Linked DNA regions of Ovis aries. The protein of the gene in region 2 binds, or shares a complex with, the protein of the main gene of each other region. Links are inferred from orthologs where the notes say so. Each region holds a gene or a part of one and is shown on either strand. Other genes may lie near its edges.

The links.
Region 1: the proteins of HRAS (region 2) and RASA1 are in contact, whole or in part, in a crystal structure (PDB 8BOS), measured with the Homo sapiens proteins. The link is inferred for Ovis aries from reciprocal best matches to the Homo sapiens genes HRAS and RASA1. Residues at the interface, in NP_001123914.1 of Homo sapiens: Gly12, Gly13, Ser17, Ile21, Gln25, Asp30, Glu31, Tyr32, Asp33, Pro34, Thr35, Ile36, Glu37, Asp38, Ser39, Tyr40, Arg41, Gln61, Glu62, Glu63, Tyr64, Ala66, Met67, Lys88, Lys117; in NP_002881.1 of Homo sapiens: Gly746, Arg749, Glu783, Thr785, Thr786, Arg789, Ala790, Thr791, Glu799, Lys803, Ser833, Arg894, Gly898, Phe901, Leu902, Arg903, Cys906, Pro907, Leu910, Asn911, Met914, Arg928, Ile931, Ala934, Lys935, Gln938, Asn939, Asn942, Val944, Ala948.
Region 3: the proteins of HRAS (region 2) and SOS1 are in contact, whole or in part, in a crystal structure (PDB 4NYM), measured with the Homo sapiens proteins. The link is inferred for Ovis aries from reciprocal best matches to the Homo sapiens genes HRAS and SOS1. Residues at the interface, in NP_001123914.1 of Homo sapiens: Gly13, Gly15, Ser17, Ala18, Thr20, Ile21, Gln25, Asp30, Glu31, Tyr32, Asp33, Pro34, Thr35, Glu37, Tyr40, Arg41, Asp54, Ile55, Leu56, Asp57, Thr58, Ala59, Gly60, Gln61, Glu63, Tyr64, Ser65, Ala66, Met67, Arg68; in NP_005624.2 of Homo sapiens: Glu589, Lys602, Trp809, Thr810, Lys814, Leu822, Met824, Ile825, Arg826, Thr828, Thr829, Thr832, Glu836, Asn869, Leu872, Val875, Ser876, Asn879, Ser880, Ser881, Tyr884, Ser908, Asp910, His911, Tyr912, Lys913, Leu916, Phe929, Phe930, Gly931.
Region 4: the proteins of HRAS (region 2) and MAPKAP1 are in contact, whole or in part, in a crystal structure (PDB 7VV8), measured with the Homo sapiens proteins. The link is inferred for Ovis aries from reciprocal best matches to the Homo sapiens genes HRAS and MAPKAP1. Residues at the interface, in NP_001123914.1 of Homo sapiens: Gln25, Asp33, Ile36, Glu37, Asp38, Ser39, Tyr40, Arg41, Leu56, Glu63, Tyr64, Met67; in NP_001006618.1 of Homo sapiens: Glu277, Ser278, Phe280, Ala286, His287, Gly288, Phe289, Ser290, Leu291, Ile292, Gln293, Arg311, Arg312, Lys313.
Region 5: the proteins of HRAS (region 2) and RASGRP4 are in contact, whole or in part, in a crystal structure (PDB 6AXG), measured with the Homo sapiens proteins. The link is inferred for Ovis aries from reciprocal best matches to the Homo sapiens genes HRAS and RASGRP4. Residues at the interface, in NP_001123914.1 of Homo sapiens: Glu3, Gly12, Gly13, Gly15, Ser17, Ala18, Ile21, Asp33, Pro34, Thr35, Ile36, Glu37, Tyr40, Arg41, Asp54, Leu56, Asp57, Ala59, Gly60, Gln61, Glu63, Tyr64, Ser65, Ala66, Met67, Arg68, Asp69, Gln70, Arg73, Thr74; in NP_733749.1 of Homo sapiens: Tyr228, Gly232, Val234, Val244, Asn248, Ser251, Asn288, Met291, Ala292, Gly295, Gly296, Cys298, His299, Ser300, Leu327, Ala328, Ser329, His330, Asn331, Asn332, Tyr333, Ala334, Arg337, Leu351, Gly352, Val353, Leu355, Lys356, Val359, Ser360.
Region 6: the proteins of HRAS (region 2) and GRB14 are in contact, whole or in part, in a crystal structure (PDB 4K81), measured with the Homo sapiens proteins. The link is inferred for Ovis aries from reciprocal best matches to the Homo sapiens genes HRAS and GRB14. Residues at the interface, in NP_001123914.1 of Homo sapiens: Glu31, Asp33, Pro34, Ile36, Glu37, Asp38, Ser39, Tyr40, Arg41, Tyr64, Met67; in NP_004481.2 of Homo sapiens: Val109, Lys111, Asp116, Glu117, Thr118, Ser119, Arg120, Ala121, Leu122, Asp123, Lys140, His142.
Region 7: the proteins of HRAS (region 2) and PLCE1 are in contact, whole or in part, in a crystal structure (PDB 2C5L), measured with the Homo sapiens proteins. The link is inferred for Ovis aries from reciprocal best matches to the Homo sapiens genes HRAS and PLCE1. Residues at the interface, in NP_001123914.1 of Homo sapiens: Ile24, Gln25, His27, Val29, Glu31, Asp33, Ile36, Glu37, Asp38, Ser39, Tyr40, Arg41, Glu63, Tyr64; in NP_057425.3 of Homo sapiens: Phe2138, Pro2146, Glu2147, Gln2148, Pro2149, Arg2150, Thr2151, Val2152, Ile2153, Lys2154, Lys2171, Tyr2174, Ser2175.

What each region holds. Positions count from the first base shown.
Region 1 is NC_056058.1:84,552,121-84,556,100, reverse strand, and holds the start of RASA1 (ras GTPase-activating protein 1), read right to left. Parts: upstream 2,801-3,980; 5' UTR 2,606-2,800; coding exon 2,064-2,605; intron 1-2,063. UniProt on the Homo sapiens protein: Inhibitory regulator of the Ras-cyclic AMP pathway. Stimulates the GTPase of normal but not oncogenic Ras p21; this stimulation may be further increased in the presence of NCK1.
Region 2 is NC_056074.1:47,140,318-47,144,293, reverse strand, and holds the start of HRAS (GTPase HRas), read right to left. Parts: upstream 2,801-3,976; 5' UTR 2,588-2,800; intron 1,524-2,587; 5' UTR 1,473-1,523; coding exon 1,362-1,472; intron 1,194-1,361; coding exon 1,015-1,193; intron 914-1,014; coding exon 754-913; intron 667-753; coding exon of another isoform or gene 604-666; exon of another isoform or gene 585-603; intron 245-584; coding exon 125-244; 3' UTR 1-124. UniProt on the Homo sapiens protein: Involved in the activation of Ras protein signal transduction. Ras proteins bind GDP/GTP and possess intrinsic GTPase activity.
Region 3 is NC_056056.1:85,175,659-85,179,158, reverse strand, and holds part of SOS1 (son of sevenless homolog 1), read right to left. Parts: intron 2,979-3,500; coding exon 2,756-2,978; intron 1,675-2,755; coding exon 1,555-1,674; intron 1-1,554.
Region 4 is NC_056056.1:10,416,937-10,420,436, reverse strand, and holds part of MAPKAP1 (target of rapamycin complex 2 subunit MAPKAP1), read right to left. Parts: intron 2,615-3,500; 5' UTR 2,546-2,614; coding exon 2,287-2,545; intron 1-2,286. UniProt on the Homo sapiens protein: Component of the mechanistic target of rapamycin complex 2 (mTORC2), which transduces signals from growth factors to pathways involved in proliferation, cytoskeletal organization, lipogenesis and anabolic output.
Region 5 is NC_056067.1:47,592,609-47,594,795, reverse strand, and holds the end of RASGRP4 (RAS guanyl-releasing protein 4), read left to right. Parts: intron 1-530; coding exon 531-567; intron 568-669; coding exon 670-804; intron 805-926; coding exon 927-1,039; intron 1,040-1,484; coding exon 1,485-1,541; 3' UTR 1,542-1,687; downstream 1,688-2,187.
Region 6 is NC_056055.1:144,978,769-144,982,877, reverse strand, and holds the start of GRB14 (growth factor receptor-bound protein 14), read right to left. Parts: upstream 2,801-4,109; 5' UTR 2,661-2,800; coding exon 2,470-2,660; intron 1,214-2,469; coding exon 1,081-1,213; intron 1-1,080. UniProt on the Homo sapiens protein: Adapter protein which modulates coupling of cell surface receptor kinases with specific signaling pathways. Binds to, and suppresses signals from, the activated insulin receptor (INSR). Potent inhibitor of insulin-stimulated MAPK3 phosphorylation.
Region 7 is NC_056075.1:15,047,541-15,051,651, forward strand, and holds the start of PLCE1 (1-phosphatidylinositol 4,5-bisphosphate phosphodiesterase epsilon-1), read left to right. Parts: upstream 1-1,311; 5' UTR 1,312-1,417; intron 1,418-2,333; exon of another isoform or gene 2,334-2,626; intron 2,627-4,111. UniProt on the Homo sapiens protein: The production of the second messenger molecules diacylglycerol (DAG) and inositol 1,4,5-trisphosphate (IP3) is mediated by activated phosphatidylinositol-specific phospholipase C enzymes.

The DNA.
Region 1 (3,980 bases), on a different chromosome or scaffold from region 2:
TTATGTACTATTTGAGCCAATTTACTGAACACTTACTACGTATGAGTTACTGTGCTGAATACATTCAGGGATTTCTCATTAACCTTAAAAAGTATCATATGAGGGCGATAGCATTATTACCCCATTTTACAGATGGGGAACCTGACCTTTGCAAGATCATACAGCTAGTAAGTAGCAGAGTCAGGATTCCAACCCAAATCTTGTCTAACTTCAGATTTTGCACCTTAACCCCTACACTGTATTGCCTCCAGTAAGTCTGGGTTGATATCTAAGATAAAGAAGAGAGGGAAATTTGTACTTCTCGTTGGCAACTTTTAAAAACTATAGTGAAATGGAGGATACTTTTTAGAACATGAACAATTCTCATATACAGAGTTACACAAATAATATTTTTATTCCCAAACACAAATGATGAAAATCTTACAATGGATTTCTCACAAGAATAATTTTTCTTAGGTTCTCATTTATATTTATTAAAAATTTAATTGGAACACTGTGTTTTCTGTTCACTTCTACGGTGAACCTAAAACTGCTCTAACAAATAAATTCTATTTTTAAAAAAATTTAGAACTGCAACACACTAAATATGCCTTATTCAATTTAGTTAAGAACTAACATAAGACTATATTCTTTCATTATGAAAAGCTGAACTTTATCATAACCACAGGGCCCTTAATACTTAAGTAGTTTTGAAAAAGGCTTGAAGATGTGTAAACAGAGCTGTAAATTTTGAATTTTTAATACTTTCAGAACACCTTCAGAGAAGTCTGCAATATGTAGATAAGAAATGATAAGCAGAAATTAAATTAGACAAAAAATTGAACTCATGATGAACAATATAAAAAGAATAAAACTCCCCTGTCCCATGGCTGACATAAGATTAACTTTACTTTTCCATCAAAAGATGTATGTAGCCTTAAGTCAAAAATGCCCTAATTTGTTAAGTCCTTTCTAAATTTTCTAAAGAAGCTTATCCAAAAAAAGAAAAGAAAAAAAAAAAACAGACACAAAAAACACCTTCAACTGTCTAGAGTGATGGTCAACACAGGAATCAAATCTTTCTTCCTCTGATACCTCACCAAGGTTGTCAAAATTCTAAAGGACAATTAAGACAGATATGAGGGATCTATAAAACAAGTTTTGCCTACTGCCCATCAACATGTTCCTCTCAAGATCCAAACCTAAGTTCACTTATGAAGAGAACAAGGGAGAAAGTACTATATATATATGTAAGTCATTTGTCCTGTATATTCTGCAGAAGACTGTCAAAATTAATTTTCAAATAGAATACTGTATTTGCCACCAACAAAAGGTGAAGGGAAGCACAATATTAATTCTAGTTCAATACTGTACTTACAAAGTTTCAACTTACAGAAGAATTATACTAGCATATTAGTAAACGGGAATTCTACTGCACATGTTAAATACTGTGGGAGTACAGGCCCTTAACCACACCAGTAATTAACAGAACTTTCCTTTCTCGCTGACCCACGTTCTCAAAAGCAATCCAAAGTCTTTTCTGCATCGCAGTGCTTTCAACAGCCAGAAGCCGGGAATTGCAGGGCAACAAAAACAAAGCAATCCGACCAAGGCACGTTTCAAACAATACTACCACGATATTCACTCAAATATTCAAAGCTTCTCACTAATTGTCTAGCTTCAACAGGGAATGCAACCAGGTTAATACAGACTACGACTGCCTCGGTAGCTGCAAACTCAGCTGAATCCCAGGACGCCACCTCAATCTGCAAGGGACAGAACCATATCCGGTTCTCCCTGGATACACATTTTCCCATGCTTCCCATCTTGAAAACTTTACATCTTCCCAGAGGAGCAATAAATATACCAAGACGCCAGGGAGTGTGCCTGTAGGGAGGATGAGTGATCAAATTAAATCCGTACGCACGGAACCTTGAGCTTCAGAACTTTTTCTGAACGAGTCACAGCTGAAAACACGAGTCACAGCTGAAAGCACTACGAGTCACAGCTGAAAAGAACTAGACCTGTTTTTCCTATTTCTTTCCAAGGAGTCAGCTTCCCCCAAAACGCCGGTCTTGACTTACTGGTTAGTCGGAGGAGCGGTCAGCGGGATGGCCACCTCTTCCTCCTCGTATTCTGGTCCATCCAGAGAGTCACCTTCGTCCACTGTTCCCAGGCCAGCGCCCAAAGGGGGCAACTGAGGAGGAGGCGGCGGCAGAGGAGGGAATCCGCCGCCGGCCCCGAAGGTCTCAGTGGGCAACGAAGTGGTCCCTTTGGCTTCAGCCATCTCCCCGCCGGGTCCGGCGGCGGCGGCGGCGGCGGCGGCGGCGACACCAGCCACGCCGGCGGCAGCGCCTCCGGCTGACAGTCCGGCTCCCCCCGGGGCCCCCGCCACAGACCCAGGTCCCAGGAAGCCTGACCCCAGAGCGGCTCCGCCACCCAGAGTCGCGGCCACGCCGGCCTCCGCCAGCCCAGGAAAGGGGGCGGCGGCGGCCACGGGCAGGGCCGCGGGGATCTTCACCCGACACACCGCCGGGTAGGCACCCGAGGCCGCGGCCGCGCCGCCTCCCGCTGCCCCGGCGGTGACCGGGCCGCCCTCCTCACCGCCGGCCTCGGCCGCCATCATGTTGAAGCCCGCTTTACGCGGCCCTACCCTGCCCGCCCGGGAGCCCCCAGGGGCCACCAGGCCCGGGCTCCGAGCCGCCCCACCCAGGCGCGTCCCCTCTTCAGCTCCCCGGGCGGAGGAAACAACAACAAAAGGAGAGAGCCCGCTGCCGCCGCGCCCCCTCTCCGGGCCACAGCCCAGGTTCGGGAGCTCCCCGGGTTACGGGAAGAGAAGTGGGCAAAAAACCCCAACGCCTGCACAAACGCCGCCCAAACCTTCACCTTCCACACCCACACTCGCGCGCGCGCGCACACTCACACACACACACACATGCACAGAAGCGAAAAACTTCCTGGCTGCACTAAAGAGGAAGGGAAGCGAGGCGGGGGGGAAAGCGGCTTGAGGCGGCTGCTGCTCCCTCAGCCGCCGCCGCCGCCACCGCTTCTTCACCACCCCAGTTCCGGCCACCCCCACCGCAACCACCGCCGGTGCCGCTGCAGGGGCTGGGGCCACTGCGGCCGCCTCATCCTCCACCGGGCTGAGGCGGGAGGGGTGGGGAGAAAAAGAGGAAGGGGGGCGGGGTAGCGGGGAAATCAACCTAAAGGCTCCCAACCTGGAGCGCTAAGTGACATCGACGAGAGAAAGGAAGGCGGGGCGCGGGAGGAGGGGCGGAGGGAAGGAAGGGCGGGGAAGGAGGGGCGAGAGGGCAGCTTCTGCGCAGGCGCACTCCCCGCGCGGAGGCGGTGGGTTGGGGTGGGGGTGTGGCGTGCTGGGTCTGGAGGAGGGAAAGGAAGACTCTGGAGGGAAGGAAGCGGCGGGGACGCGCGGTGTGCGGCAGCGCTCGCTGTCCCGAGCCGAGGGGAGCGCGTGGAGGCGCGGCCAAGCTAGCAGTCCCGAGCCAGTGGGGAAGCGCGTGGCGGCGCGGCCGCCTCGCCGGTCGGTGTGGCCGGTGGCGCGCGCCTGCCTGACTGGGCTTTGTCTGAGAGACGGGTTAGGCGGCGGAGGGGAGGAGTGGGTCCCCGGCACGCGGCCGCTCAGCGGGGTAAAAACCTGTGAGCGACGAGGAGGGTTTCTTGAAGAGGGAGGGAAAGAGAAGGGGAGATGAGGCAAAGCCAGTTCCTCGCTTCCCGACCGGTAGAGCGGACGCCGTGGCCGGCGGCGCAGAAACCCGACGGCCGAGGCCCGCGGGGGTGGCAGTTGGAGGGGTACCTGCCTGGAGGTCCGAGAGAGTCCTGTTAGTGTTTCCGTTCTCTTTTCATTATATAAATGACTATATGACTATTTCAAGCTAAAAAAAATAAAATGAAAATTTTTTTAATAGATTCTAAGACTCATGCGAAGAGTTCACTCATTGGAAAAGACCCTGATGCTGGGAGGGATTGGGGGCAAGAGGAGA
Region 2 (3,976 bases):
CGTCCCGGGAGGCCCGTGGGCACTCTGTCCACCGGCCTGGGGGGCCGGGCTCTGGCGGCACCCCCCTCCTTCCCTGCTGTGCCGCCTCCTGCGTGGCACCCAGCGCTCCACGCCCCCGCTGCCGTCAGGAGAGCAGGCACCTGCAGCTCAGGCAGCCGGGGCCCCCCTCGTCCGGTGGGCTCAGCTTGCGCATCTTGTGCTGCCGGATCTCGCGCACCAGAGTGTAGAAGGCGTCCTCCACGCCCTAGGAGAAGGGCCCGGGTCAGGGCAGGACCACCGCCTCAGCCGCGGGCAGGGCCCCAGCCCTCTCCCCACCCCGCAGACAGGGAGCCGGGTCCTGCCTGCCTCGGGCCCCAGGCCCGCCTCGTCGGGAGGCCTGTCCTCAGCTGCCAGCCCACTGAGTCTTTGGGGCACCCTGGGACCCGCGGGGCACTCTGGGGGTAGGGGGGCTGGGGCCCCAGGGTCACCGCTCCGGTCTGGCTCAGGGCAGCTCTCTCCGGGCACCCCCACCTCCCCCAGGAGCTGTTTCAGCCCAGACCCGGGCCCTGGCCTCCCTCGCTGCCCTGCCATCCGGGGAGACTTACAGCGAGAGGGGCGGCTGGGTCACGGGGGTCCCGGAGGGTCCCAGAGGGTCCCGGAGCTGCAGCCAGAGCCAGAGCGGCTGCCCTGCGTCGAGGGAGAGGGGGCAGTGAGCCCTGTCCCGGGTGGGCGGGGCGGGGCCCTGGCTGGCTGCGGGGCAGGGGCCGGGCTCACCTGGCGGGTCTTGGCGGAGGTCTCGATGTACGGAATGCCGTAGCTGCGGGCGAGGTCCTGGGCCTGCCGAGACTCCACGGTGCGCGCGGCCAGGTCGCACTTGTTCCCGACCAACACCATGGGCACGTCGTCCGAGTCCTTCACCCTCTTGATCTGCTCCCTGCAAGGAGGAAAGGCTGAGCTGGCAGGCAGCCCGCAGGCTTGGGTGCACTCAGGGCACAGAGAGGGCCAGGGGCCCCTGAGGGCCGGCAGGCAGCTCACCGGTACTGATGGATGTCCTCGAAGGACTTGGTGTGGTTGATGGCAAACACGCAGAGGAAGCCCTCCCCGGTGCGCATGTACTGGTCCCGCATGGCGCTGTACTCCTCCTGGCCCGCCGTGTCCAGGATGTCCAGCAGGCACGTCTCCCCATCGATGACCACTTGCTTCCGGTAGGAGTCCTAGGGACGACACTGTTCAGAGACAGCCGGCCCTCCCGGGGGGAGACCTCCCTCGCTCCTCTCTTGCCCCGCCCCGGGGGCCTGTGACACGGGGACCCTTTCTTAGAGGAGGTGCGAGTCAGGCCCACGTCAGAAGCTGAGCAGCGGACAGGAGCCAGGTGGACTCACCTCGATGGTGGGGTCGTACTCGTCCACGAAGTGGTTCTGAATGAGCTGGATGGTCAGGGCGCTCTTCCCCACGCCGCCGGCGCCCACCACCACGAGCTTATACTCCGTCATCGCTCCTCAGGAGACCGAGGCACGAGGCGCTGCAGTGGTTTGCGGTCCCACCTGCCGAGGGAGCCACACTCAGCATGGCCGGACCGTGCAGGGCGGGCGCAGGGAGCTCCCTGGACCAGCCTGGCCAGCTCCGGCCTGCCCCCTGGGCCTATCCACCCAGATGACAGGGGCAGCAGCCACACAGGTGGTCCAGCCCTCACCTGTGGCACCTGCAGCCCAGAGATGGGAGGGGGTCTTGCCTCCAGCTGCCCCTAATGACTGTACCAGAAAAGCAAGGAGCAAGGAGCAGGCCCCTCAGAGGCAAGGCTGGGAGCAGGGAGCGTCTCCCAAGCACGTACCCGAATTAGAACCTGCTGGGTAGGCAAAAAGCCTAAACTAGAGGTGCGTTGGGCTGAGGTTACCAGCACCCCCACGAGAACAGGTCTTGCCACAGTGGCGGGCACAGCAGCGTGCCCAGACAGGCTGGTGGCAACCGACAATCTGCTCCAGCCCTCCCCCCAGGGCATGCTGGTGCATCTGAGAAGTATTCAGTAAGCACCTACTGCATGCCAGGCGCTGCTGCAGGCGCACGGGGACAGAAGAACCCCTGCCCTGGCAGGTGTGGGCGACACTCCAAGGGGAAAGTCCGCATGAGCCCACGGGTCCCACTGCCAGAACTCTGGAGAATATAAAGCAGCTGTGGAGGTGGACAGGGGGCCGAGGCTCCAGGAAGCAGATCACAGGAAAAGACCCAAAAGAGGTGTGGGCGCAAGGGGACAGGTGAGAACGGGACAGGGCCTGGGCCCTAGGCTCCCAGCTGGGATGTCAGCGGTTTGTGATGCTTAAAGAAGAGGCGCCCTTGCGGGGACCGCAAGCAGTGACTTTCTAAACCCCCGGTTCGCCGGGCGTGTGATGGCCGCCGGATGCCCGAGCTCTCCGGAGGGGCCCGTGCGGCTCCCGCGGGTGGAAGACCCGGCCTAGCGCCTCTGCTCGCGGACACCCAGGTCACTTGCGGAGCCCGTAAGGCCGGGCCCGGGACACGGAGCCAGAGGTGCTGGCCGGGGCGCGGCGGCGCGAACCCGCCGCCTCCCGCAGCCCCCGCCGCAGCGCCCCGCCCGCCGCCGCCCGCGGCTCACCTGCGCCCCCGCGCGCCGAGCGCAGACAGCAGGCCCCCCGCCCGGCCCACCGCTCCCGCCGCACTCACCGCTCACAGGCGCGACTGCCCCCGGGGCCGGGGCCGGGGCGGGGGCGGGGGCGGCGGCAGGGGGCCGGGGCCGGGGCGCAGGGCTCGCCCGGCGCATGGGCTCCGTCCGCGGCGGGTGCGGCTCCGGCGGCGGGCGGCGCACACTGGACCCGGCCGCGCGCGCCCCGCCCCACGCCCGTCCGTCAGCCCTGCGCGGCCTGCGATTGGCCGAGCGCGCCGGGCCCCGCCTCGCCCCGCCCCGGTTGGCCGAGAGGCCCGCCCGTCAGAGCCCCGGCCGGGCGGGGCTTCCGGGAGCCTCGCCGAGGGCGGTGCCCGCTCTGGCGGCCGGCGCGGGCCGCGGCCTGCGGGGCTGGCTGCGCGGAGCGTCGGGCCCCGGGGGGCGGCGTCCCCGAGGGAGGCCCGGGCTCTCCCTGGGGCAGGCGGGCCTCGCGGGGAGATAGAGACCCCGTGGCTAAGCGAGTCCGCGGCCGGGTGTGGCCTGGGGCGGGGCGCTGCTCCCGGAGCCCCGCGCCGGACCCCGGGCACCCCCGCCGGGCACCGCTGCGCCTACCCCGCCCCCGGCCCGGGTCCACGCCGCCCCTCGCAGGGCCCGGAAAGGAGGCGACGGCCCGAGGGCTAAGCCTCAGGGAGGCAGGAGCCCGCATCTTCAACCCCGCGGATGCCCCGGACCTGAGGCCGGAGAAGGGCGGAGGGGCTGTCCAGACGAGGGTCAGGCGCAGGTGGCTCCGGGAGGGGCGCCTGGCAGCTTCTGCGGGGTCCTGGGAGCGGCTCGGCCTCGCGGGCGCCTCGCCTGGGCGGGGAAGTCTGAGCCCGCGGAACGGCGAGTCCGGCTCGGTGTTTCCAGCCAGTGCCCAGGGTCTTGCTTCTCGCTTACGTAGCGCGCAGCTCCGCCGAGCATCACCGCTAGCCTCCCAAAACATGGGCAGCCCCTGCAGACTACCTCCCCATCGAGCTTCCCCGAAGCCCCAGGTCCCAGCCCTGCGGAATCTTAGCTAACAACCCATACCCAGCAAATTCACCCCCGAAGTTGCTATGGAGGGCTAAACTCAAGTCTACCGCCTCCCAGGCGAAGTGTGCACATTGTATCTCCTTTAAAGACGCTCAGAAATGCATGTTTTTAACATTAAAAAAAATTTCACAGTAACGCATAAAAACATCCTCCGTATTTACAGGAAAGAACGGTGCGTCTCACGTGAGCCCAGACCTTTGCCCCTCCGGCACTAGCTGGCAACCCCACCCTCCGCGCCTCTCGGCCCCCTCCCGCTCCGGCTCCGCGCAGTTCCCGGGAGCTCATCCCGCTGCCGGCCTCGACCCCGGCGGG
Region 3 (3,500 bases), on a different chromosome or scaffold from region 2:
CTCTAGAAATGGCCCTAAGAGTAAATAGCAAGTAAAGAAACATCTATTCAGGAAATTTACAATTCAGTAAGAGAGGCAAGAGTCTGCTTCCTTAGAGAAACTTGCAGAGGCGGGGGATGGGGGGACACAATTAGCCCAAAACACAGGGCTCCCATCTCCTTTGACATCTAAAATGTCAAGACTCACATCTTGACAGAGATGAAACAGCAGGGAGAAAAAACAGGGAATGGTAAATTGCCTGTAAGACAGATCTGATAGGTCAGATTTAACAACAACAACAAAAAAGATTTTAAAGCAGTCATTCTGAATTTATTAACAGAACTAAAGGGAAGTATGATTTAAAAAGCAAAGTGGCGAGGGGGGGTGGTGCTGATGACAGTGTGTATCAACAGGAGTGTCCTAAAAAACACAGGGATTGTAGAAGAAACCAAACAGAAACCGTGGATTTGAAAAATATGATAATTAAAATAAAAATTTTACTAGAGGGACTCAATAGTCAGTTTGAACTGGCAGAAGAAATACACAGTTAAACTTATAGAGGTATTGTTCTTCAAAAACGAAGACTAAGTAAACATTTTCCCATATACACAAAAACTAAGAGAACTGGTGCTAACAGACCCACCATATAAGAAGTGCTGACTTAAGTTCTTCAAGCTAAAAGCAAGTAACCTCAGATAGCAGTGTGAATCCACACAAAGAACACTGGTAATTATTTAATTATAAAAAACTCTGTAAATGCCTATTTTTCCCTCATTGGTTTTTTAAACTGATTTTAAAGAGCAACTGGATAAAATAATATGTATGTAATGTATTGTTGGGTCTATAACACATAGAAATGTAACGTATGTGAAATACATTGCCAAAAAGAGAGCAAAGCTGGGAAGGGCTAAGAAAATAATACCAAGTGGTAGTAAAAGCAACAATTATAACCATGCACTGCTAGATCTGCATCGTTAATTATAGGTAACGCGTGTTCCAATACCACAAAGGGACGCAGCGAATAGAGCTGCTGCTGAGTCGCGTCAGTCGTGTCCGACTCCATGTGACCCCATAGACGGTAGCCCACCAGGCTCCCCCGTCCCGGGGGTTCTCCAGGCAAGAACACTGGAGTGTGTTGCCATTTCCTTCTCCAATGCGTGAAAGTGAAAAGTGAAAGTGAAGTCGCTCAGTCGTGTCCAACTGTTCGCAACCCCATGGACTGCAGCCTACTAGGCTGTCCATGGGATTTTCCAGGCAAGAGGACTGGAGTGGGGTGCCATTGCCTTCTCCAAGTGAATAGAACTATAGAGGAGTAACTTTTTTATATGTCACTGGAATTCGGGTATAATCTGAAACTAATTCTGTTATGATGAATGTGGCAAACCTAAAAGGCAATCATTAACAACAACAACAACAAAAACACTTAAAATGCTGTTTTAGAAAAATATTCACTAACTGTCGAAGAAAGGCAGAACAGAGGAACAGCAACAAACACATGAGACACGGAAACAGAACTGCAGTGAGATTTATAACATAACTGACTGTTGCGAAATTAAGACGACCGGTAAGACTTACTTCTCAAACCACAGAGTGAGATTAGTGGTATGCCGGATCATTTTCAGGAGATTAGGAGAATTAATTTCTTTGTCTTCTTTTGTCCACACACTTCCAACTAATTCTGACGGCTGTACAGCTCTAAAATCATCAAGACATAATTCTATGTGATACTTTTCCCTCTAGTATACTGTTTTATCAAGTAAGTGAGATAAAAGGTTTATGAAAACAAGGTAAAACAAAAGCATTATAATATTGCATTTTTTCTATTGATTTTAAAAAATTTTGTATGCGTGTACCTGTGTACTCTTTTTTATTACTTTAGAGCAGTATTTTGCTTTGGGCATGGGTGGAATTTCTTCACAGTGTCTTTCCCAGCACTTATAAATATTATCTAACAAATGAGGGTAAGAAAGTAGTTTGGGATAACTCTTTTAAATAATGATATAATAATTGAGGGTATAGTAATAACTGCAATTCATAAATCTCACCCCTCACCCCTTCAAGGAAGGGGAAAAACTCTCTTAGGAAGAGTCTTGGAAAAGAAAAACAAAAGGTTCTAACACTGATTTTGGGAACAGTGATGATCTTTGATGGGAAAGCTATACATTTAGTTTCCTTTTCCATTTAGTTATTTAAAAAATAAACAGCTTGAAATCTAAAAAGTCTAAATTTAAAACTAGAAACAGGCATGTTTTTTGAGATTAGCAGCTCTATCAATGTATAAAAACTAAAAAAGGTTAAATGGCCATGACTGAAGTTCATAATGACAATGGTGCTATCTAACTCACCGCGCCCTTACTCTGTGTGGGGCAGTGTATTTATAGCGAAATGCTATAAATATACGGACTATTCTAAACCTTGCACAACAGCTCTAGGAGTAGGTGCCATCATTAACTCCGTTTCCTCTTGAGGAAACTAAGCAGCAGAGGAGTAAGTCACACAAGAAGATTAAAGTTGCCCGAGGATACGACAACACATGAATTTAGTAGATTCACTGACTGGGGCGACTGCATAGAGAGAGAAGTTATAAGCCCAGATAGGGCAAAGGTGATCAAGGAGTAAAAGAAGAGGCGTCTTCTATACAGAAGGCCTTATTACAAGACACTTGGTGTACTGTCTCATTATGTCTTATAATAATCTTACAAGCCAGAAATCAGATTTCATTTTTAAAGTTAACTCATTTGAAAGGATTTTTCAGCTTGAACATCAAATTACATACCGATATAGATCTGATTCAAGTAAAGTGAGTTGTCGAGCAATTTCTATTGGGTGTAAGGTAAGCAGGTCAAAAGTCTCGATGTGCCCAGGTCTGCTTATGTGCCACTCAACCGTAGGAGGTGAACTCTGAAATGTAATATTATGACCTGGCCCATTGTCTCTTGCAATTTTTTTCCTTTGGATTATTTTAGTGATGGATTCAACCCATTTTTTCATTGCTTTACCTGAAATAACATTATATGAAAAGTAACGTTTAAATATTTTACTCAATATTTTATTGAAAAAAAAAATAGTTTAAAATCATATAAATGATACCTGAATATCTTTGTTATAAAAAGTTCATACAACCAAAATTTAAAAATGAAGTTCCCCTTTACCATTTCCCTGTTTCCTATCCCAGTCTCATTTTTCTTCATTTGGCTAACCATTTGTTAATAGTTTGGTATATATTCTTCCACATCCTTTATAAATAAAATGAGAAAGTAATTTATTTGCAGAAAATTTTCACTTCTATTGTTCTAAACTTTAGTGCAAAATATTATTTTATAATCCTCTCCAAAAACACTACCTTACACAAATAAGATTTATAATGATAGACCATACAACATTAGCCGTTAACCTAACAAACTGCATTTTATAAACCAAACAGTGCCATAGGACTGACTCCTTCCTTTTGTGTGTTTTTCATGCGGCTTTGTTTTGTACTAGGCATGAAAGTAGTATTATTTAATCCTTTATTTTTCGAT
Region 4 (3,500 bases), on a different chromosome or scaffold from region 2:
AAAAAGTCATAAAATTTTAAAGGTGGCACCCCTGAAAAGCAAATACCAACAAAAACATGAAAATATTCTTGATTTATAATTGAAATTAGAGGATATAAAACATTAATAGAGATCATAAAGATAGTATTAACATGGAAGAGAATAATAAAATGTGAAAACTTCTGTGATTAATATGACATTTCATTATATAAATCATTAATAACGGTCTTAAAGGAATTTTAATGCACAAATGAACTGAAGTGAATATTACATTACAGGAATAAAATTACTGTTATGAATTACTCTACCCGTTTCAAAAATTAAAGATAAATGAACTCAGACTAGACTATTAAAGTTTTAAATATAAAATCCTTTATCTAAAAATCATGAAAATTATAAAATGTCAAAGCTATATAAATTAGCATAGCTTTTCTTCAGTGGGCTGAAACAGTTTATAGGTAGTAAAATAAATGATTTGTATCTTTGTAACATTAGTCAAATCTTAAAAAGAATAATTTTTCTTATACAAAATTTTAAGATATGCTGAAAGGATTAAAAAGTAAATTCCTTGGTCATCGAATACCCCACAATCTTAATTAATTATTAGCATCTAAGTGCTAGCTTAAGAAATTCCAACAACAAAAACAAAAGCATCACCTAAAATTATGCATTTGTGATTATACTACGATTGGCTGCTCAACCTTCAAAAGTCAGTTAACTGGATCTTTTGAAGAAATACCGTACAGCAAACAATGCTGTCCAGCACGTGGAGACTACAATGGAAAAGAAAGTCACAGCTTATGCCACCTCTTCATATTAGGTTCCTCTTGCTAATCTTCAACTTCCTATCCTGGCCCAATGCTAATAAAAATAAATAAATAAAATAAAGTTTTCTTTCAACCACTTTCAAGGTAGGAAATCTTACATTCCTGCCTTAGCATTGTGGCAGTGAAACACTGAAACAGATCTTGCAAAAATTAAACTATGCTGGCAAAAACATTCTGACAGTGTCACTCGATCGAACCCAACTCCACAGCAGCAAAATACATTCGACTGCAATTAATAAATTTGAAGGGTACAGCCAAAGTATTATAATCATAAAGCTCTCAATTTAGCAGCATGCTCCTACTAAATCCATTCAGCCTGTCATAAAAGATATCTCAATAACTTGCAAGGAAGTCAGTTTCAACTAGAGAACTGCGAACCAATGGTTCGAAATTATATTCAAACCTTCACTCGAATCCTATTTTGCTTAAAGTTCCTTTGGATACTGGGAAATGCTATTAATTATTTTCATCACAAGAGCAAATTATTCTTTGTATTGACAGATGTCGCAGAACGCTGAATTCTGAACCAAAACCTTAACATGCTTTTTAGTGTAAACTGTATCCTGTTCTACCAGCAGTACTCCTTTCCATCCATTTTAGATATGGACTATGAAAATTAACATGCAAATATTTTCAGGGTTCTACTATATATCCCACATTACTTTCCCTGGGAGTTAGCAGGTTACTGCCACTTATTAGGAGATTATATTTTCTGATTATCTAAATAAAAAAATTATCTCATAGAATACCATCATATTAAAACAACTACACTGTATAGTCTAAATAGTTGATCTACGTAAAGGACTTCATCACATACCCCTTGAAATGCTCCCCAAAACCATAAGCTGGAAAAGGGGAATGAATTTTTAAAAGCTAATGACTAAATATACCTATGCTAAAACTGAGCATTTTCAGGCCACGAATACCAAAGGGTAGAGAGATCAACTAAATAATGTATCAAAAACGGGGGCACCTTTTCTCATCTCAACTCCCAAGTAGGACTTCCAACTAAATGCGGCCTTAACAGCCGGCTGTCTCCCTCCAATCCGCCACCCAGTACGATTCCTCCAAGGGCGAGAACTGTCTCAGACAGCGCAATCCTTGTCTGGCCAGCTCTCTTTATCACGTAACCTGAACCCTGCCTACTGGTAATAGTGTAGCTCTGGTAAAGATCCTCAAGACAGTCCACTTCCCTGTCTACATGGTGACTTTTTAGAACAGAATCTCGAACATTTCTCTCATAGTCAACTTTTTCACCTACTCCTCCTCTGTCTGCTTCCTCTAACAGCGTCATTCCAGAGACTCTCAGCACTCAGTCGAAGAGATGGAGAGATGCCTTAGACTGTTAGTGTAATACACTCATGTTCCTATCAATACAGAGTAACTTTTCCCATTAAACTTATTCCAACATTACGCATTATTCTATAAGACTGTTTACTGATTTAAAGCTCAGAAGACAGGACTAAAAGGCAATGTTTACCTGTATTTGAGCGTCTTCTAATACCAAAGTCCCAACTTGAGGTAATATCGACCGACTGGGCGTACACATAGCCCTGAGTCTCACCATTGCTTCCCTGAATTTCTGACCCACTGTCTCCAGGCATTGAAGGAGGATGAATCTTCTCTAGGTCAACATCATGATCAATGAGAACCATCTCACACATTCCTGTGTCATCACTGGTCACATGTGACTGTCGAATATGAGCTAGAATGATAGTTGGATTGTCCAAGAAGGCCATCCTTTCTGTGGGCCAATTTCCTTAAAAGGCTATTTTCTCCTCTTCATATTGTTTCACGGGCTCAACTACCTAGAAACATGATGCACACAGCAACATTTAAGAATAAGGCAGAGAATGACTGAATCATTTTTCAAACAAATTCAATGTGGTAAAAATGCTACCTTGAAAATCAACATTTATCCCTGTAGCTAGGAGCTTAAAAGGATTAAGTCTAAGCTGAAAGGAAATCCTTATAAGCACTAGGGGCTACTGCTCTAGTCAATGAGCTCTCCATGGTATCAGAGAAGATGGCTTGCTCTTTTACAAAACAAATAACAGTAACTCCTTAGTCAGCCCACTCAAAGCACATAACTACTGTTAAAACAATAAATTTCCCTTTCTTTCTCCCTTCATTCCCATGTAGTCTTCTCATTACTTTATAAGGTCATGGGGGAACAAGCTGTATTTTCCTCAAATGACGTGCTAAAGTATGAAACTGTATTTCTTCAGTTTATATTCCCCTCTCCTGTCATAGTTGTGAAATGTCTAAAAGGGCACAGACATGCTTTCTGAGTTACCAGGAATTTTACAAAAATGTACCATCAAACTTATTTTGTTCAATACATACATTTTCCTTCCTTCTGATTCAAGATAGTATTGTGCTTTTAAAATAAAACTTATTAATCAAACTTGTCTGCTACCAGATTAATTTCTTATTTTAGAAACCTAATTATAAGAACTGCTTCCTGAATCCTGTTAAAACTGTAATGATGTTTATTCTGGGAACAAAACGGTACCTCCTCAGTTAAATGGGAATACTCAACAAGGAAGATATTACAGGACAGTAGTTAGGAACCTAAGGGCTTAGAGGTAGAACTGGGTTCAGATCCTGGCCCTATCACTTGTTAGCCACGTGAACTTGGTCAAAGTAGCTTTAACCTCACTGAGCCTGTTTTCTTTCATTTATAAAATGGAG
Region 5 (2,187 bases), on a different chromosome or scaffold from region 2:
GGGTAGATTATTATCTGCAAACTGAATCAGGCTCCCAAGTCTCTAGGCCCCGGATGATTCAAACTCTGTACAATTTCCAAAACCAGTTGGATTTGGAAATCTATCCTCCAGTCTGTGGAATGGACAGATCTCTCACTTCCAAACCAAGACCGGTTCGCAAACCTTGGATTGCTTTCCAAATTCACTGTTTCGTTCACTGAATAGACACTGAGCACCTCCAGGGCGCTAGGCACAGTTACAGGCTCTGGGTGGGGGTGGAAGGGGACAGGCAGAAACAGAACAGACACAACCCCTGCCCATAGAATGTATGTTTTATTAACTCCAGATTTTGTCCGATTCTCATATCATAGGTGACTCTCCAAACTTGAGACAAATCTCCGAATTCCTTTAGTCTTCCAGACCCCACAGAGGCCTCTAGCCTTGGGCACTTCCAAAACCTGGATGGTTTCCTGCAGACAGTCCCTGTCCCTACCCCAATCACAGCCCTCCCTCTCCTAGCCTAGGTAACCTGTTCTGCTCTCTCTTCCCAGCTTTGGGGTGTCACCAAGCAAGGCTACCGCTGTCGGGGTGAGTGGAGCTTCAGTAGAGAAAGGGGATCTAGGACCTGCAGGCTGGGAGAATGGCGGACGTGGACTGGGCCTCTGGCACTAACCTCTGAATTTCCCCCAGACTGTGGGCTGTGTTGCCACAGACACTGCAGAGACCAAGTGAAGGTGGAATGTAAGAAGAGGCCAGGGGCCAAGGGCGATGCGAGTCCCCCGGAAGCCCCTGCCCCACCCACTCCAGTTCCCCAGGCCAGCTGTGGTAAGACCCAGGGTGTGGCAGTGCTGGGAAGGGGTCCTGGTGGACAGATGGGGATTCATTCCGAGGTCATGAGGCCTTTCCCATCATACCTACGTCCCTCCCACCTGCACCCCTACACACAGGCTCCGAGGACAATCTCTCCTACACACTATCCCTGGAACCTGAGACTGGGTGCCACGTTCGCCATGCTTGGACCCAGACAGAGTCCCCACACCCCTCCTGGGAACCAGAGACGGTGAGGAGGAACTGCCCCCTACCCCCAACTGGATACGGGGAGACCAGCCTAGTTGCCTGGGGGAACCCAGACAGACTTGGGGAAGAACAGGAAAAGTGAAACGATGCAAAAGCCCTCAACTGCTTGGGTGGGAGGGTGTAGATATGGGTTAATTTTTAATGTTGACAGCAATTTCAGTATATTGGTGGGGAGGGGAAGGGGTAACCCCTAGTACAAAAGAAAAAGTGAGTTTAGGAAGAAAAACAGAAAGAAAACTATAAGATGTCAAGATTAAGGCCAAACAGATCAGATATTAATAAATATTGGAGTAAATTCCACTCGTAAAAAGAGCAACGTCTCAGAATGAGCTAAAGAAACTTCACTTTGACATGTCGGGGAGGCTCTCCCCGCAGTGAACCTGAACATCATACACTCCCCACGTCACCCCATGTCATCCTCCTTCCAGGTCCCTCTGCCAGTGAAGGCCTCACCACCCACCAAGTCCTCCAAGCTGAACTCCTAGATGTTGCCTTGGTCTCATCTCTTCCCCACTTCCTCCTCCAGAGTCAGTCTCAAGTCCTGTTATTCCGTCTCCTTCCCATCCACACTGCCTTTGTTGAAGCTTCTGTCATCTCTTACTCCAAAAGAAAGTTATTTTCTTCTTTTGCATCAGAGTGGCTGTTAATTGTATTCCCTTTTCTTGCATGTGATATCCGTGCAACCCACTCCAGTATTCTTGCCTGGAGAATTCCATGGACAGAAGAGATTGGCAGGTTATAGTCCATGGGGTCGCAAAGAGTTGGACACGATTGAGTGACTAAACAACATCATCATCTTGCCAAGTCCTTAAATTCCCATTTTACAGATGAGGAAACAGGCTCAGTGAGGTCAAACTGCTCACCAAAGGGAGCAGAACTCGTGAGTGTTAAGAGTCAGGACTCCTACCCAGTTTGTCTGCCTCTCACATGGAAGCTACTGACCAATATACTGCACTGATGTCAGTATGGGTCAGGAGCCAGAGGGGACAGGGGGTAGAGTTCCAAACTCTGAGGTGGGAGAGAAGGTCAGAGAAGGGGTGGAACAGGAAGGGAACCTCTGAAACCTAAGTCAGATCAAACCCCTCCTCTGCTCAGAGCCCTCCTATGGCTCCATCTCACTCAGTGAAACCA
Region 6 (4,109 bases), on a different chromosome or scaffold from region 2:
TGTCCGAGTTTTTGCGACCCCATGAACTATACAGTCTGTGGAATTCTCCAGGCCAGAATACTGGAGTGGCTGGCCGTTCCCTTCTCCAGGGGATCTTCCCAACCCAGGAACTGAACTGGGGTCTCTTGCATTGCAGGTGGATTCTTTACCAACTGAGCTACTAGGGAAGCCCCCAGTGGTCATGGGTTTGAGCAAATTCTGGGAAATAGTAAAAGACAGAGTAGCCTAGTGTGCTGTTTGTAGTACATGGGGTCACAGTTGGACACGACTTAGCGACTATGAACAACAACCCTTGCAAGAACAAGGTACATAGTGAAGCTTCTCTTTGTTTGCTGATTCAAGACTAGAATGAAGTATATTCAGAAGAGATGGGATTAACCTAGGAAACACTTTTTTTTTTTTATAATTGTGATGCATCTCCCCACAGCTGCTTGGTTCTTGAAGTTTAATTTGCTCAAGTCAGCTCCATACTAGAAACTTGAAAGAAAATCATAAAAATTAAGTCCATAAGCTAAACATCACTTACAAGTCATCTGTCTTCTGCAGTCAGAAACTTCCAAACTGAGGAATTCGCTGAAATGAAAGAAAACCTGTGGAGTCCAAAACTCCATTTACCTTTCACCACAGATTCACCATAATCAATTTCCTTTAGTAAATAAGTTTGGCTTGGGTTGAAAATATGAAAGATTAAAGAAGGTATTAAAAGAACCGGTCAATTCCCTTCTCCCTCTAAATCACTACCAGCTCTTCCAGTTTCTGAGTTAAAATTGATCAGTTGTTATCATATATAACTCTCCAGTTACAATGTGAATAATAATAGCTCCTAGGCTCTGTACTTCACATATATTCTTTCATTTAATCCATTCCAAAAGCCTGATGGGTATGTTTTAATGTACCCACTATACAGATGTGAAAAGTGAGACCCTAAAGGGAACTAATGGCAAAGAACTATGTCAGTTAATAGAGCTATTTAAAATAGGCCATGCTAACCTTTTGCTAATATTGTAAGTTACTATCTTAAAGATTATATGGATATAGAACTTCTAAGATTGTTTAATTAGAACATTTTAAAATGCATACCTGTTTTTTCCTTGAATTTGCTTTGGGAAACAGGCCTGCTGACAACACAGATGTAAATGGAGAGCAGCATAGCTCAGGAAAAGGATTTGGAATAGATGGCATTTCCAGAACATCAAGATCTTTCTTTTTTCTCCTACACGGAGAGAACATAGGATGTAATTTACATAAAACAGAATGTAAAATATAATTGCTGTCAGGATTAAAAAGTTAAGGCCAGAATGCCCCACTCTGTGACAATACTAATGTAAAGTATACAGGAAAAGTCTGTGGTGTACTTTCTGTGGGTCAGAATAAAACATGTCAATTGATATAAATCAATCTCCTTTTGCATTCCTTTCTTCCTTTCTTTTCTTTTGGCCTTTAAAAAGAAAATCACCAGGCCTGGAAGCCCCATTTCCAGCACTTCTGATAATTTTCCTGAAACTGACATACAGACTAGAGAATTATTGAAGTAAAAATCATCCTGAGGAGTTAGACATTGTTTTGCATCCACTAAATTGACAGTCTATAAACATTTAGTGAACTCATCCCTATTCTATTCTACTAATCACTTTTGAAAGTTATGGTTTATTAATTATAGCTGTGGTTCATCTCACTTCAAATTTCATTCACAATGTGGCCCACACACAGTCTGCTGATTTTTCAAGTGCTTATAGATACTAAACTGCAAGGCAGTGTTTTTGAGGAGGTAAATGAATAGAACTTGCTAGTATTAATGTACTTTGGTCCACTGCAGAGTAATTTTAACTTCAGTGAAGTTGAAGCACTTTGAAAATCTGAAGAAAAAAAAAAAAAAAGACATCATTTAAATGTATGAATATAAAGGACTATTGATTTTTGTATTGTTGCAGCCTTTTTCTTTCCTAAAGTATGTGTGAAATTGTGAATTCTACAGGCACTTAGGGCTGAATGCTATGGAGATTGGGAAACACTTTAAAGCCTCTATTCTTTCCTGCTGAACAGCTAGACTGCTCAAATGTCAATCCGTACTTTGCCTCTCCAGGGTCGCTCTAAGACTCCATGTGGGAGGCGAACTGATTTATTCTGATTTTTTTATAATATATAAAAGGGATTATTTTGTTTTTTAACGCAGTAAAGAAGGAAGGAGGGTGGTCAGCCTGGAGCCTGGCCTCCTAGTTCACATCGATGGTCAGAGGCGAGAGCGACCCGGAGCTCTCAATGAATCGGTGATGCTATTTATAAGGCGCTGGGAGATCGCAATGTCCTGCCCATCCGGTAGGTTCTGCCAGCTCAAAGGGAATTGTCTTCTGAGACTTTCTCAAACTTGGCCCAGATCTGGGCACATGGCTCACCCCCTAGGACCGCCTCCTCACCCCTCGCCGGCTGCCAACCCAGGACACTCCCCCGCGCCCTCCGAGGGCTGCCTACCTGTCTGCCGCACAGCCGCGGGTCGCGTCCGGAGGGGGCAGGAGTGCCCGCGCGTGCAGCCAGGGGCCCGGCGCCAGGTCGCGGGCGTCGCCCCTCCCCTGGGCAGCGCCGCACACCTGGGCGGCCAGCGGCGAGTCCCGGGCAGCCGCCCGACCCGCGGCGCTCTGCCCATCTTGCAGGGAAGTGGTCATTGTCGCCGGCCGGGGGACTCGGGCGTCATGGGAGACCCGGCGTGGGGGTAGAAGGAGATCCGGCGGCGGGAGGCGAGGTGCCGGTTCGGCAGCCCGAGCGCGCTGCAGGTGCGGTGGCCTCGCCGCCTGCGCTCTGGACCAGGGCGGCTCAGACGCTCGGCCGAGCGGTAGGCGAGGCGGCGGGGGAGGGGAGGGGGCGGAGGAGGAGGGTGGGGAGAGGGGAGGAGCGGCGGGTGGGTGGGGGCCGCGGGCGGCGGGGCGAGGCGCGGAGGGGGCGGGGAGGGCGCCGGGCGGGCCCCGCTCGCGGTCCGTGGCGCTGGGGGGCGCTGGCTGGGGGCCCGCGCCCCTGACTGCCGGCCCTCGAGGCTCGGGCCCCGGGCTCCCCAGGTGGGCGCCGGAGCGCGAGGCTGAGCCCGGGGTCGGGGCGGATCCGCGTCGCGGGAGGCGGGATCCATGTGATCGGGCGCTCCCTCGGGGCTAGCCTGGCAGAGCGCAGGCGGGGCAGGGGTCTGGGCAGCCCTGACCCCCTAGACCTTTCATTCTTCTTGCTCTGCTATTGGAGAGCTGTCGCTGGGCCGCCATGACAGGCCCACCGTGCCAGGAGAGCGGGGGACCAGGTTTGTCCCAGTCTTTCCCCCACGTGCCTCTTGCTTCCACTCTGCAGCTGAGGACACCGGCGAGGGAGAAGGGGTGGACGGGGAACAGGCAGTACAATCGGTGCCGAAAACTACGGAGATGTTTGAGAATTCTGAGTAAGGTATGAGTAAACCTGACCTCTTAGGAATTAGGAAAATTATTCATTTTCTTCTGATAAGAGCAGCTCCCATCGAATGAGCCCCTACTCTGCCTAGTCGCGTTCTACCTCACAACGGCCTCATAAATTAGACGTTTACCCCGTTTTACAGATAAGGGAATTGAGGCTCCAAGTCATGGAGTACCTGGTACAAGACAGGGCTAGTGAAGTAGTGCAGTGAAGCTTCCAACCCAAAAGATTCCATGCCCCAAATCCAGACTGCTTGAAGTGGTAATTACATTATGCTCACCTGAGATGCAGTCGCCCTACTCTGAATTCTGAGTGGTAAATCTGTTTCTGCTCTTCCAATAAGTGCCCCATCCCAGTGCACTGTTCCGGGTTTCCAAATGTTTTATACACTCTTTGTTCTTTGACCAAATTAGGTAACATCTGTCCCTGGCTTCTGTTAACCAGGTTTTCTTAACCTTCACAACCTCTGCCAGGGAAAGGCAAACACTGCCTTCTAAAGACACTGGCAACCCCCCTGCTCCATATCTGTGTGACCCCCAACACACACACACACACACACACACACACACACACACCCCGTGGCACCAACCACTGCCGACGCCCAGGGTTTGCTAATCCCCAGCCTGTGAGAAATCTGTAGTACTACATAGAGGCACAAAATTTTGAGTCAAAGAGCCTACAGAATC
Region 7 (4,111 bases), on a different chromosome or scaffold from region 2:
TATGTAACAAGTTCAAAAGAGATGTGTGCTTTCTTCTGGAATTTCAAACAAAGATGCACTACATTTAAATAGCTTCCACAGCATTATTTCTTGGGGCTTTTGTTTTTGTTGTTGTTTTTGACTATGCAAAATGGTCTTGTATACAAAGATGCATAAATCAGTTTATTGAAACTGAATTTTCCATGGAAACTGTCCAGTGCTCCCCCAATTCACAAGCACTTTATCTGACTGTCTTTCTTCCTCCAGATAATGGCTGGCAGCAACCCACAGTGTGGAGGTTATACGCTGTACTTTTGAAAAAGTCTTGAATGGAGCCATTGTTCCCCTGAGATGGTCTGTGTGTTTCACTGAACAGAGAGCAGGGTGTAAAAAAGGCACCTTGTGTGCAACTGTTGGCGAGGTTGGGGAGTGAATTAAAATCTCCAGAAAGTCTGGGCAGTGCTGTTCAGAGGAGCAATGAACCCTCTGGAAGCACTGTTAGCTCAGACATTCCAATGCGGTGAGGCAGCCTCAGGGACATGGCTCCCTCCAGTCTCATTTAGAGAGGGATGGAGGGGGCGAGCAGAGGACATTGATCTGGACCTGATCTCTTTGCAAAAAATTGGTGAAGGCCTTTCCAGGAATGGGGGGTTATTGATTATCACGCTCAGATAACTTTCCTGACTAACAGACCTAGTCTTTCCTTGGTTACTAATAGTGAAGTGACTCATTTGGAGGATTCATGTTAACTGCTTGTGCATCTATCAGTTTGCAACAATCTAATTCCTGTGCGCCTATTTTTTTTTTTTTTTAAACAGACAAGCCTTTGAGGGCTCTGGGTTGTTAATGATGTTTGATATTACTAATTCATTAAATGCATTATAAAACCGCAATCCAAAACTGTATAGTGAATAAAAAGCCTACCTTGTGTATTGTCAATAATGCTTCCTTTTTCCTGGAGCCTCATTCACCTCCTCAGGACTGTGCAGGCACAGGGATTGGGGGCAGTGACTACTTCCTATTCCTCTAGTGCTAAAATCTGAAACTTTTCATGAACAAAAACTTTCCTCTGTCTTCTGCAGAGGTCTTTCCACAACCAGCTCTCAAGGAAGGAGGTAATGTTGATTTTCATTAAATTCCTAGTGGTGAGAAAACAGCAAAACAGTGTAAGAACCCAGGCTGACATACTTTTCTTAAAGGCAGAATTCTTTGGTGCACCCTCCTGTGCGTTCTTTGGTCCAACCCCTCCTGCGCCTGGAAGCTCAAAGGATGGGAGGCCACTTTTAACAGTGACCTGAAAGAAGGGGTCAAACGAGCAGGAGGAAAATGTGTGGGAGGAGTAGAGGTTCGGAGTGGGAGAAACACCATGTCGGGTTCCTACAGTCACGGGGAGTTAGTCTGGAAGGCAGTCGGGAGCCGATGGAGATTTCTGCACAGGGTAAGTTGCAGAAGAGGAAGGACCACACGGCTGCGGTGTGAGGGAGTACGAGGAGCGGACAGACGGGAGGGGTGGGGGCCCCCGGGAACTGGGCTTGACTGAATGTAGGAGGAGGAATCATACCTATGGAACGGGTTGGTCCATTAAAATAGGTGAAGAGGGAGAGGGATTGGGCGGAGGCGGGTGGGGGGTGGGGGGTGTGATAATTCGATTTTTCTCCAGGTCTCTGGCTCTCTTGACTGTTAGTTGGGTATAAAAACCACCTCAACGGCCAGGGGTGCAGAGGCTGCAGTTTCTGGCAGCGCTGACCACCTCCTGCAGGATTTGGAGTCCATAGACCTGGATGTCACTATTTGGATGGTCACTAAACTCTGCGGCCTGGCACAGCACTGGGCACACTGTGGGGCTCAATAATAAATCGTTGTTGGATGAATGACGGAACACATTGGAGACTCCGTGCTGCCCTTACCAGAGTAACCTTGGTCAAGTAATTTAACCTTCAGGAGCCTCAGTTTCCGTGTGTGTCGAGCAGGGACGGTGCCTGGCGGAAGGTGTGACTGTAAATGCTCGCGGCCTGAGTTGGACCGAGTTTCGGCTCTCCGGCCAGAGCCGGGAGACCTCGCCGCACTCTCTCCAGCTCCCACTGCGGCCCGGACGCCGGGCGGCCCTGGGAGGCCGGGCAGGGGTCGCCGGGCCGACATCCAGGGCCAGGGTGGCGGCCGGGTCCGCCCCTCGCGCCTGCCTTCTCCGCGCGGCCGGCGGCCCGGGGGCGGGCCCGTCTCAGGCCTCTCCCCCCGGCCGCCCGGCGGCCCGCGGCGGCGCTCGCGGCCTCTCACCCGGGGCGGGCGAGTTCTGGGAAAGCCCGGCCCAGGGCGGGGGCCCCGCTGCCGCCCGCGCCGCCGTCAGGGCAGCGCGCAGAGCTCGGCGGGCGCGGAGCGAGGTAGCGGCGCCGGGCGGGGGCGCACCGCGCGGCGCGGGGCCGGACGGGCGGCGGGGGCGGCAGACCCCCGAGCGCGAGCGGCGGCGGCGCGCCCCGGCTGTGCCTCCCGGGCTGCGCCTCCCGGGCACTTGCCCGGCTCTGCGCGCTCCTGGCATCCGCTCCGCCGCTGACACACAGTAGCGGGGACACCCGACGCCGTTAGCGACAGGCACGTTCCAGAAGAACGCTGCAACTTGGGGACCCCGGCGCGCCCGGCCAGCAGAGGAAAGGTGAGGAGGAGACCCTGGAGCTCGGTTCCCGAGGCGTGGAGAAGGGGAGAGAGGGGCTTGTAATCCCTGAACCAGTCAGTAAAGCCGCCGAGGGCACCCAGCCTCACCCAGTTGTACCTGGCGTGAGAGTGTCCCTCTTCCGCCCCATTTCCAGGGGAAAACTGAGGCAGGCGACTCCCGAGGGGACGAGAGCCAGCCTCACATGGGCTGGAGGACACCCCGGTAGGGCTTCCTTCGCCCCTTCAGATGTTTGCCTTGGGTCTCCACTGCATTTTGTGTGTGCAGCACAAAGGTGAAAAATATAAACTCTTTCTGAGGCGGTCCCTAGCGACAGTATTTCAAGGAAAAGTGCTCAAGAGATTGTTCCTGGAGAGATTAGCTACATCAAGTCCTAGAAAATACAATTTTGGACCTGGATCTCACTTTCACTGGCCACTAGGAGAATGGCTACGTCTTTTTTGTTCAAGTCCTCTAGTGCTGTGATAATGAATAACCTAGAAGCAAAAGTCCTCCATTGTAACTGATGTTAAATGCACAGTGCAAATTTATGTCCCGGCCCCCCCCCCCCCCGCCCCCGCCCCCCTTGCCTTATATTTAAGTCATGAGACACTTGGTACAACTGACTCAACTAATTATTCAATGTACGAGAGATCCATCATCCATCATTCAAAGATTTAGCAGCATCATTTTAAAGAGGGAGCACCCTCAATAGATATTAAGGAGGAGTCACTTGTGGAAAAGTTTTATTTCCACATGGTTCTTAATTTGGGTTGCATCATGCAAAATTTGCCACTAGGTCATTTAGATCCCTGCAAGATTAGTGCATTTCCTTGTGTTTCTGGTAAGAACTCCTGGTAGGGATAGGGTGGGGTCCCTGTCAGAATGGGCACAGCCAAGGCCTGGGGTGCTGTAACCCGCCAGGAAGAATTTTTGAGAGCCTGTTTTGGGAGGTGGATTTAGGTGACCCGGTAGATGCACTTACAGGGCCCAGTTGGCCCTGGGGGAGAAGGGGTGGTTGACTATCTCTGGATGCTGTATCCAGCCATATCTTCACAGATGCTTTCTGAAGAATACCTGGGGTGCTGTCGTCTAAAACACCCTTTGCTCTTCCTGGGTGCCCTTTCTGCTCCATTTCATCTCTCTAAATCCTAACCAGTTTTGTTGCTGCCGGAAGACCTTCCCTCATACCCCAGTCCCAGATAGTCAACTTTCTCAGGCTCTGATGCCTGCAGCATTTTACCTTCCTGGCTTTTCTCCTCTCAGCATTCTTTGAGAAGTTTTTATGTAGATGTTTCATTTCCCTACTGAAGGACTTCACTGTGGCTTTCTTGGCACAGTGCTTGCACCTAGAAGCCTCTCTGGAAATTGTGCTATGGCTTTGGTTCTTCAATACAAGTCTCTGTTTTGGAGAAGAGGATTCAGAGAAGAGCACAGTGTTTACCATTCGAATTGTCCTCCACTTACAATCCCACAGGGGAAATTTTC